3 linked regions of the Oreochromis niloticus genome follow. The protein of the gene in region 3 binds, or shares a complex with, the protein of the main gene of each other region. Links are inferred from orthologs where the notes say so. Each region holds a gene or a part of one and is shown on either strand. Other genes may lie near its edges. The genes, in order: rac2, cyba and ncf2.

Region 1 (3,754 bases), on a different chromosome or scaffold from region 3:
GTTATTGTTGAGCCAGTGAAGATTTTAAAAGCCTTTTAAATGCTTGTGCTGTTAAACTGTAAATACCACGACTCTTGCAGCGGACTTCCCTACAACATGAAACCGACTTCCTCTTCTCCATCAGCAGTTAAGTTTAACTACTGTGCGTATGTATCTATATATACACTGTTAGCGCCTAGCAGAGGTTAAAAAATGAGAAATCAATGTGAAAATTACCACCACCATCATTAGCTTTCTGGCTGTCACATAAAAATGATACATAGACTTTCAAAAGGGCTGGCTGGGTTATTTGCAATGTATCTTTCAAATATTTCAAAAGGCAACATTTTGAAAACCTTTTCACAATATTTCCTTTTATTCATGTGGCCACAGGTGTAAAACTGGGCACATCTCCAAGCTCTTCTCAATTTTTCTTTTAAAGAGAAAGAATGACTTCCTCCTGCTTGTGTAATCCACTGAAGTGAACCGACTGCCTTTGTCTTGGTGTTGTGTTTTTAATAGAGGTGGACGAATTAATCCAAATATTGATACCAACACAGATATTGGTATCAGATTGATTCAGTGCTTTAAGTTAAGTCTGTAGTCCATTGAATCTGTTAAATAAATTATTTCTTTTGCACATAGCATAATATTCCTTAAACAACATATTAAAAAACGTCTAAACCTTTTTGTGTTGACTGCAAGTCTATTTTATTTATACCCTATAGAACATTCAAACAACAGAAGCTGACCCAAAGTGCTTTTGAGACATGAACATTAAATTCTGGGTCTCTGAAAAACCCAGTTTGAAAATTCATGAGAAACTAAAAGGTGTGTTTTGTTGTTTTATCTAATTATTGTGGAAAGTAAAAATCATTAAAATGTGTTCAGAATTTGCAAATTAATAATGTCCCTAATAATGTCTCATAAGTCGTGACGCACTGCACTTCCCTATATAAACTATTATAGGTTAAAAGTGTGAGTATTGGTATCCGCAGTACTGGCCCTGTATTTACTTGGTATCGTCATATTTGCAGTACTAGTTTGTACACAGCACTAGTTGTAAAGAAACAAGTAATAAAGGTGGAACTGAAATCTAGGTCAAGTTCTGGAGTGGAGTCAAAAGTAATGAAATAAGATCTACAAAAAGTTCAGCTTGTTTACCTCTGCAGTGCTTATTGTAGCAGCTTATATTCACGTCAGAAACTGCGACTTATTATTGCTTATTTTTTTTGCTTTACATGTTTTGTCACTTATTTTTAGTGAACTGTCTTTATTTACTTTAGGACACTTAAATTACATAAAACCTTTTTTAATGGAAGCTTTTGGTTGGCAGCTACTAAAAAACAGCTTCTTAAGAAAAATAACAATACAAGTTATTTAAACAAAACAAGAAATTTATCAAAGTATGAATATGTTGGTTAACATAAAACCTGACTACTGTTGGTTTCCTGTTGACAGCCAACAATTGATGCTTTTTTTGATTAATTATGACTGTTATTTAATTATCTATTTATTCTATATTCTGTAGTAGTCACTGTAACCATTGTCACTTGTCACTGTAACCATAACAATGAAGGTGCCTTCATAAATTCAAATATATATATATATATGTATACATTTGCTCCTTTCATAGAGTTCTCAAGCTGACGCATATTTGAACACTACAAAAAATGTTAGAGAAAACACACAATTATTTTTTTTTTTAATGTCAAATTTTAAATCATGTTTTGCATTTGTTTAAATCACTTGAACTGTTATTTTTCATGTGAGGTCTTTTTAGTAGCTGACAATCAAAGGCTTTCAATAAAAAAAAAGGTTTTATGTAAATGTTGCATGCTAAATGAAATAGAGCCAACACCACATGATTCCCTTTCCAAATATTTACACGCGTCACTGTTACGGCTTCTCTCTCTCTGCAATTTTTTAAATCAGTGTCACACACCAGGAAGCTCTGCACACACACTGCAGTACCTGTGTGCTACCTCTGGATGGTTAACTGTCTGTGTTAAAGTGTTTACTGAACTATTTTTGAGAAACAACTGTAGGACTTCCGCTTTACAATTTCCTTCACTTTGACAGCCAGCCATTTTGCCCCACCTTCAACGAAAGACGCATTTGATGGCAGACGGTGGCTCATCCAAACTTCTTACGCGAGCACATTTCACCCTTTAGGGCAAATAAATTCAACAACTTTTCAGATGTCAAAAACACAATGAGGTTAATCATTTACACATTTGAGCTTCTGCTTCTTTATTGCCTCTTCTTTTTTTAGTCATACTTTTCTCCCACTTTGTTTGTATTTTCTGAACTGATCTTTGTGGCATCTATCGGATTTTCATCTTTGAAGAGGAGTTCTGCTGCCTTAAAGCATTTTCCTGCATGTTGTGGCCTGCATGGCTCATCCAGCGCGCTCAGTGTGAATCACCGCTGTCAAACACACACCTTAAGATCTACATGTTAACACTGGACATAAAACACAAGTACAGAAGTTTCTTTTACGCTTTTACGCTGAACCGAACAGCAATCTTGCTGTAGTGGGTCAAACTGTTGCTCCTACCATGTGACAACCTTTGACAGCTCTATCTGATTACCCTGAAATTCAGAGCCTGGGGCCAATCCCCATTTACACGTCAGCTGGGCGACCACTGTGTAATTCAAAGCTTGAAGGCCTCTTTAATTTATAACACACTGGTTAAAATTAGTAAAATAATAGCATACCCATCTCCCACGACCACACATTTGATAGCCTGCATCCTGTTCCGCTCAGCTTCGTCTGTGCTCTTCACTCTGAAAGAAACAGACTCAGAGAGGAAGGCTGAGAGACGCTGAAGAGCATGCAACTACAGGAAATTGTTGCACACCTCCCTCCCCCTTCTTTTGCTGCCTCTTTTTTTCTTACTCAGCCTCTCTCCCTTCATTTTTGCACTCATCTCCTTCTTCCTGTTTTGTTTTTTTCTTCTTTCAAACAACAGACCTTAAGCTGAAAAGCTACCAATACCAATAAGACACCCATAAAAAAATTAATGTGAAGGGTGTTGAAAAGCAGTCTCGGTTGCAACAGAGAAGAAGCTGTGAAATGGCCACAAAGAGGAAGGTTCTGCTAACAATAAGAGCTTTATTTAAAACTTCCTCTACTGTTGGGCATTTACCATTCAATGCAGACCAGCATGTCCGGAACATACGGAAGCTAAAATTAATTTACCTCAAATTTCATTTTGCTATGAAAAAAAATTGAATTCCGTAAACCTCATTAATTAAAGACATGCACTCACACGCGCGGTTACATTTCCCTTGGTTTACACAACCTGACACTGACTCACATTCACTTCCTGGTGTTTTCTGCAGTATGTGTCTAATGGTGATCTTAAAACAACATTAAACCTTGTTATCACTCCTGGTGCACTCCTGATACTATGAAACACATTTATGTCCTCACAGTGTGAGTGATACAAGTAACCACCTGCAAATAAAAGTTTATTGTCGGTTAACTTCAAGTTATGTGTCTGTAAATTTAAAAGGAACAGCATGGTGGTGCAGTGGTCAGCACTATTGTGTGACAGCAATACGATCCTGGATTTAAATCCAGCTGTGGTCCCTCTGTGTGCATCCTAAATGCTGTCCTAATGTATGCATGGGCACTCCCACCTCTCCTCACAGTCCAAAGACATGCATCTAATCAAGTCAAACTTTACTTTTATAAAGACTTAAAACAACAAGTAATGCACATGAATGCTATACAAAATATACATAAGATAAGATAAGATAAGATAAG
Region 2 (3,754 bases), on a different chromosome or scaffold from region 3:
GTATTGCCTTCAAGGTTGGACCAGGCCCGTGTGTTGTAGAGGATCCCACTCAGCAGCTGCTTTCATCTGATGGTTTTCCCAAGAAAATGATGTGATTTCCTCCTGCAGCGAGTTCTACTGAGCAATAGGAAAGCCAATGTGACTTAGTTGCATATAACTTTTATCGCAGCAATACCAGACACCTTCCTCACAACAGCAGAAGATGATACATCTCCCTTTAAATTTTTAACTGTCCTGTTTGGTCTCTTTTCTTAACATCATTACTCCTTTGTGCTCTTTCATAGCTTTAATCATTTCTGTGTATCTGCAGGTAAACACTGATACTGCCTTGACTCTCTGGTCGTAAATAAGTGGAAACTCTTGCAGTGAGCAATGCACTGAGTCATAAATACAGATCAGACTGGAGCCCAGAGCTGACCCATTGTTCTGTCTGATCGAATTATTGTGTGTACAGTTTTCTTGTTTCTTCTTGTTAATCACCATTTCCGACCAACAGTGCATATTTAATTCATGTCAATTTTATGGCACACAATAAAATATATTTTGGTCAAGATTTCATTTGTTGTTTATGATTTTTGTCATTCCATCATCTGATTCTCATCCAGATGAGAAAATAATTATCTATTCAATCTCAGAACTTTAAAAGATTAACTCATAATTCTGGTAAAGAAGCAGCAGAAAGGACAGCAAATAATGGAAAAGAAAAAAAAAATCTTTGACAAATTCCGGTAACCTAACAATCACCGCCACAGTCAACAATCAGAGTGTGTATATCTTGCGATAAAGCCGGTCTTTCTTTTCCTTGTGTTACCTGGCAGGAGTTTTCGGTTCTTCCTCTTTCGCTGTAGCGCTGCATTTTTTCGGAAATGACGCTTGAAATAGGGATTGGCTAAGGCAGAACAAGCCTCGCCCTCTGACCTGCCCACCTGCACCCCTCAAATCTCGTAAATACATTTTTCTTCCTTGTAGAAACCATTATCACCGTCGGTAATCCACGCCGGAGGAGCTCCAGGAGGCTGCAGAGCTGCTGTTAGGTTAACATAATGGGGAAGATTGAGTGGGCGATGTGGGCTAATGAGCAGGCTTTGGCGTCGGGTCTAAGTGAGTATGAAAACTTTATTATTATGGAGGGGGGGTATTTAGCACGTTTCTTATTGTCTTATTCGGTTACATGAGCGGTACTTTTAGCCTCTTGTCTAGTTCATTTACAGAGTATTTCTGACAGCATAATAAAGCACAGTTTACCACCTCTGTGTGTGCAGTCTGCAGGAGTGTATTTTTTAAATCTTATCTTCCTGTTTTCTTCTTTCAGTTCTCCTCACAGGAGGGATCGTAGGCGTTGCTGGACAGTTCAGAGGGTGGCAGTTTGCTGCTTATGCAGTGTATCCTTTATTTTCTGTTGTATTTTTTATTGTGTCTGAATTTTGGCTTATTAAGCCTTTTCTATGTTGTAGAAATAATAACATGCTAAATAGGATTTTATTTGTGGGGGTTTTTTTGTTCTTGGGGTTTTTTGTTTTTGTTTATTTTACCAGTAATTTAATGCATACAGGAAGTTCAAATACTTATAACATGTAAATACATTATAGGCTACACAGCTAATACTAGAGCCTTTGGTATTCTAGTCTGTATTGACGTGATAGAACAGGTGATGTGATTCATCTGTCCTCCACTACACCTTAAACAGACTCTGTAGGATTGAGGTGTGGTGATTGTGGAGGCCATTTTAAGTTCAAGAAACCAGTCTGAGACTGCGTAGTGCACTGCCCAAGTGAAATGAGCATTTACAGTGTAGTCATGGAGGGACACATATGCTTATCAACAATACTCAGAAAGGCTGTTACATTCAAATTATACTGAAACAGTAACGATTCTTCAATTGCTACGCCAAATTTTGACCCCACCATCTGAATGCTGCAGAAAGAGGGTCATTGCCAATCAACCAGGCAACATTGTTTTCCAACCAAGCATGCCCATTGTGGGCTCTGTTTCCTTTTCTTAGCTTAGGTCTAAAGCTGCTGATGACCATTTGCTTTTTTTGACAGATTTTGTGCTCAGAGATCCTCCTCTACACAACATGTGATTTTAGTTTTTATTGCATTGCTGCTCGATCAGTGCAGCTATCCCTCTCCTATCTTTATCATCAGGAAGTGTTTTCGCAGCTCATTGGGTGAATTTTCTTTCTCTCTAAGGCTTATTTAAATTATTATATGTCAAAATGCATTTTGTTCCTGCCTCATAAGTGACTGAATTGGTGTTTTTATTGACAAGTAGTTGAACAAGTGTTATTAATACAATGACCGTCAAATGTTTATGATGCATCACACAGTATGTTAAGCACAACTATGCAGCAAGTTAACATCAAACCTGACCAAATGTTCTAGTGTTATGGATTTAACCGACGCTGTGCTTAGCAATGTTCACACTGACATGCAAGAACGTTATTTCTTTTTATTCAATAATGGCAAAAATACAACATGGGAAAGTACTTTCTTTTCTCCCTCAGTAGCTATTCTTATGAAATAATGGAGATATTCTCTTTTGTATTAGGAACAATCCTCTCATTCATTGTTGTCTTTGCCTGCTGAACCTGCTCAGCGTCACCAGTGTTTATCTCAATTTCACTTCTCAGACTTATCTCAGTGAGCATTCTTATCTGACTTCTTTTGGTCCGGTTTAGTTACTGCACTGTGTTTACTGATGATGATATATTGTTTCTGTTTTTGTGTCTGTGTGACACTTTGCATGCAAATAAAGAACATTATTTTAAAGAAAACACCTTGACAGATAACTAGTGCTGCCGGGGTGTTTGTGTGTCTACTTGAGTATCCCAGAAGCAAGAGGGCCAAGGGCACGAGCGTGGAGAGAACGTAAGCAAACACTGTTCGTTTGGATGTGCGCTGGACTTTAATGGACAAGTTCTAAGTCGCTCATCATTGTGTCTTAATTTCTCTCAGGGGCCAGTACTGCTTCACTGTGTGTGTAAAAGCCTTTGGACCACTCACCAGGAACTACTATGTCAGGGCATTTTTACATGCTGCGTGAGTTCATTATCTCAGCCACAGTCTTTGCCAAACAGCATTCCTGTCACTGTCGATTAGTCAAGGATTATGACTTGTTTTCTTTAGTCTTTTGTCTTCAAAATCCATTTGTTTTTGTTTTTGATTGTTTTTATCCTCAGTATCTGTGTACCTGGAGGTTTTATGCTTGCCACTGTTCTTGGATGTGTCTGCCTTGGCATTGCCAGCCTCATCTACCTTGCAGTAAGTTTGCAGCTTTTTAACCTATTTATTTTTCTTCTGTCCAGCAAGTTAAATAACTTTTTGATAAAGTTGTTAACTGAAGCAGGAACTAGCCAGTTGGTGGAAACAAGGAAATAGCAACAAGGAAGAGGTTGTTTCGTTACTGGCACCTCTGTTGAAAGATGGCCGTGTAGTTATGAAATCTGAACAGTTAGGGGTGTGACTGAATTCCTCTACACCTTTGTGGATTTTGAAGCTTTTGAGGTTGCACTGTTTATTTTTACATTCTCTAAACTACTGTGAGAGTCAAAGATAAGAACCAGTAATAATAATCTTCCTGATTTTCAGTAACAGTACAGTAACTTTCAGTCATGCTTAACTTAATCATGCACAAGCCAGTCATTGTTGATTTGTCATCTTCTTGCTTTGTAGGCCGCTATACGAGGCGAGCATTGGGAGCCCATTCTTCCACGGAAGGAGATCCGAAAACCAGTTGGAGAGAGCATCAAGAA
Region 3 (3,754 bases):
AATCCTCCCCTAGTTTTGCTGCAATAGGTGTAGGCTGCTGGGGGATTCCCATGATGCATTGAGTATTTCTTCTTCTCCCTTACTATGTCTTAATATACCTCTCTGCACTGAATCATACTTATTATGAATCTCTGGCTCTCTTCCACAGCATGTCTTTTATCCTGTCTTCCTTCTCTCACCCCAACCCTCCCTGAGCCTGGTTCTGCCAGAAATTTCTACCTGTTAAAAGGGAGTTTTTCCTTCCCACTGTCACCAGAGTGCTTGCTCATAGGGGGTCATATGATTGTTGGGTTTTTCTCTGTATGTATTATTGTAGGGTCTACCTTACAATATAAAGTGCCTTGAGGTGACTGTTGTTGTGATTTAGCTCTGTATACATAAAACTGAACTGAACTGATGTGAAATTGAAGAGACATAAGACACAAAGGTTAAAGTTGGCACTATTCTGTGTAACGGTACATTTCTATTTTCAGGTTTTAATTATTAGATCTACACTTTGAGTCACATTTTCTCTTTGTGGAAAGCAAAGTTTCATAGATATGACTCATGCTTTCCCCCATTTTGTATTTGTACTAAACATGTATAGTAGAGAATCCACATATCAAAAAAACTTGCCAACTATAACATCATTAAATACTAAGATCATTTCTGTTTAAAGAGTTTCAAATCTGCATGGATCCAAAGTGACTATCATACCTCAGAACCACAGGCTCTTTTGGACAAGTTGGACCATCTTCCACCTATCAAATAAAAAAAACACAGTCCATCAGAGACATGGCAACACACTGGAATATGTAAAGTTTCAATCTAACAGTAATTCTTAACATTGTAAAGGATTGCAGTGCTGCTCTATAATGCAGCACAAGTTCATTTCCATTTTGTTGATGTGGATCACTGGAAGCTTTTAAAACAGGCACCAAGGTAGCATATTTTAATATAAAGTAACAGAAGATAAGAACGCACTGCTGTTTCTGTCATCAAACTGTAAAGTTTTTATTGTCAATAAAAGCCAGTGTGTCACCTGAGGCTGCAATGGGGCAAATCCAGAGAACTCATCTTGAGGAACAACAGAGGCAACGACCTGATGATAAGAGGGGGGGAAAGTAGCTTATAGATATCACTCAACAATAAACTTATTGGTTTCTCTGAGTAATTTCAAATGTGTAAGTTCTGTATGTGTGTACATATATATATATAAAATGAGTGACTGACATTTTACCTAACATAATAAAATGTTGTGATGCTGACTTTTGATAGCTTTATAATCACACTAGATTAGATAGAACAGGCTGTATAACAGATCACCTTTGCTTTGCCCAGGTAGTCTTTCTTCTCCAGCTCTGCAACATAGTGCTTATTTGGTTTGAACATCTCTTTTGATTGGAACTCGACCAGTTTGAAAAGTTTCTGTTTCTGTTGGTGAAATTTCATTGTGAGTGAAACTTAAAATATTTGCCGGTGGTTAATACAGCAGTCGTGCATATCAATATCCACCTGACTTAAAGCAAAATTAGAATAAAGCATATTAGCTTACCAAATATAGGTTAATGGAATGAAGAAAAACTACTACATTTGATATCATACATGTAATCACATTTAAATGGGTTCACAAAAGTGATTGTATCACAACTGACTAGGATTGACTGCAGAGCTTTGTCGATGATATTAAACCTGGCCTCTGTCTTGTAGTCAAGAGCCTTCATGAGGTACTCCTGGGCCTTTTCCCATCTACCCAACTGAGCTTCAACCAGGGCCATATTGTGGAGAACCTGTGGAGACATTGTTAAGCTTGTGTCCTTGGCCAGGAAAAAAAACGAATGCTAAGTTGTATTATGAATGAACAGCTCATAACATCAAATGAATTATTTGGATGTAGTGTTCAGGATTAATAATAGGGCGGGTTATCAAGAATACTCACATCACAAGCATATAGTATGTATCTGAGACCAAGCGCTTTGTAATCTATTAGCTGGTTGCCCCTGAGTGTTTTAAAGGTTTTCTGGAAGTCAGCTAAACTCTCCTCATACCTTTACATAGAGACATAGAGACAAAAGTTAAAACATTTGCATATGATATACTATGAAGCATTTTTAAATAACGTCATTAAACTTAAAAAATAATATGGTCCCTTTTTTTAAAAAAAAAAAAGGAAAAAGGCAGGTGTGTCTTGCCTCTTCTTTTTGTAAAAAGTGATTCCTCTTTGAAAGAAGGCGATGGCCAAATGTTCATCCTTGCGTATGCTGCAATCAAACGCCTGAGAAACAGAAAAAAACAGTCACTTCCTCTAGAAAACATGGTAAGATCTACTTCTCCTTTCTCAGTGACTTGCGCTTTCACACAGCATATCAGAGAATTTTATTTCAGCTACTTTCAAAAGAGTTTCTTGTTTGGACTAATGTGCTGATACGACAGCTGTTAATATTTGTGTGTTTATGCTTCAGCCTGCAGATCAGACATACCTTTTCAGCAGCATCGAAGTCTTGGTTAAGAAGATGGAGACAGCCAATGTCAAAAAAAATTTTGGAGTTTGGTTCTTGAATAGCCAAGAAAATCTCAAGTGCTTTGGAGAAATCTTGTCTGTTGACGCAAGTTACCGCCTCATCCCAGTGGCGCAGAGTGTCTACAAAAGACATGTTGGCAGGTTAGGAGTACACTGAGCTACAGACCACAGTAAGGAAGTTCCTCTGATTTGTACCACTGAGAAGAGGAAGTGTGATGAAAGTCATTGTTGGTGTATATATAAATATCACATTACCACCAGGTCTTAAAGCTAAAGGGTTGTCCCTTTTTTCCCAATGTGATGTTCTGTCATCTACATGACAATTCATTATTTGTGTGTGGTATTTAAATAAAGCTAATCTGATTTTGTTATACGTTCCCATCACCACATATGTCATGCGTGTGATGTTTAGCCATAGATTTCCAGGAATGTTGACGGACAGGGTGTAGGGAATGTGATTACACAAGAACAACTTAATGATGTGTCAGTAAACAAGGATAAGATAAGAAGAAAGACTGAAAGTAATAGGGTTTTTTATTTATTTGTTTATTTATTTATTTATTGAATCACGATTTACAGCAGGTAAAAACACTTCGAAACAGGCAGTCGGTATTCTTTTTTGTTGTCTTTTAGTTATCAGAAACAGTGCAAGTGCACAAACTACAACTTCCGGCTTAAAGTTTTTAAAAACGATAGTGACCTACTAGTACAAGCTTTGCACTCTAGCACAGCTTTATTAATTCACTTGTATTGTAAATGAAATCAGTTATATTGGTGGGGTTTTTTTCTGTTGTTTACCAAAGTATGTATTCCTTACCTTCAGAAGAAAACTATTCCAGCTTCCTTGCTGTGTGGTTGGTTCTCTACCGCCTGAGCCCACCTACGCTGACTGTCTCCACCAATCACAGCAGAGCGACTTGCGCGCTGCCTCCCTCCGGCTGATCCAAACTAGCACTGGCCCCATCGGTAGTTAAACAAACATGGGTCTGCTACATTATCAGACAACGACTCTTTATGATACGTAGGCAAATTTAAAGGAAAAAATGCGAAGATTATTAAGAAACATGCCATGCGTGATATGACACCGTGGACGGAGAGTCGCTATATTATTTAGTGCGTTAGCTTAGTGTAGCCTTTTGTGACCGTGTTTACACGTAGCTAGCTCTTGTTGGCTAATGTAAGCTAGCAAAATGGACCTTGGATCAATGTTGTACAACAATTTAAAAGAAGTTACATGGAGTACCACGTCCTTAC

Evidence for each region.
Region 1: ncf2 (region 3) and rac2 share a complex: the UniProt entries of both Homo sapiens proteins name them as parts of the phagocyte NADPH oxidase complex. The link is inferred for Oreochromis niloticus from reciprocal best matches to the Homo sapiens genes NCF2 and RAC2.
Region 2: ncf2 (region 3) and cyba share a complex: the UniProt entries of both Homo sapiens proteins name them as parts of the phagocyte NADPH oxidase complex. The link is inferred for Oreochromis niloticus from reciprocal best matches to the Homo sapiens genes NCF2 and CYBA.

The regions. Positions count from the first base shown.
Region 1 is NC_031971.2:8,485,744-8,489,497, reverse strand, and holds the start of rac2 (ras-related C3 botulinum toxin substrate 2), read right to left. Parts: upstream 2,856-3,754; 5' UTR 2,736-2,855; coding exon 2,701-2,735; intron 1-2,700. UniProt on the Homo sapiens protein: Plasma membrane-associated small GTPase which cycles between an active GTP-bound and inactive GDP-bound state.
Region 2 is NC_031965.2:23,060,729-23,064,482, forward strand, and holds the start of cyba (cytochrome b-245 light chain), read left to right. Parts: upstream 1-891; 5' UTR 892-1,043; coding exon 1,044-1,101; intron 1,102-1,312; coding exon 1,313-1,382; intron 1,383-2,795; coding exon 2,796-2,870; intron 2,871-2,957; coding exon 2,958-3,041; intron 3,042-3,181; coding exon 3,182-3,263; intron 3,264-3,674; coding exon 3,675-3,754. Other genes in the region: mvda (diphosphomevalonate decarboxylase), read left to right, coding at 15-95. UniProt on the Homo sapiens protein: Subunit of NADPH oxidase complexes that is required for the NADPH oxidase activity that generates, in various cell types, superoxide from molecular oxygen utilizing NADPH as an electron donor.
Region 3 is NC_031974.2:25,538,964-25,542,717, forward strand, and holds the start of ncf2 (neutrophil cytosol factor 2), read right to left. Parts: upstream 2,674-3,754; 5' UTR 2,634-2,673; coding exon 2,460-2,633; intron 2,255-2,459; coding exon 2,172-2,254; intron 2,028-2,171; coding exon 1,919-2,027; intron 1,770-1,918; coding exon 1,635-1,769; intron 1,414-1,634; coding exon 1,306-1,413; intron 1,082-1,305; coding exon 1,022-1,081; intron 741-1,021; coding exon 697-740; intron 1-696. Other genes in the region: garem (GRB2-associated and regulator of MAPK protein 1), read left to right, coding at 3,691-3,754. UniProt on the Homo sapiens protein: Subunit of the phagocyte NADPH oxidase complex that mediates the transfer of electrons from cytosolic NADPH to O2 to produce the superoxide anion (O2(-)).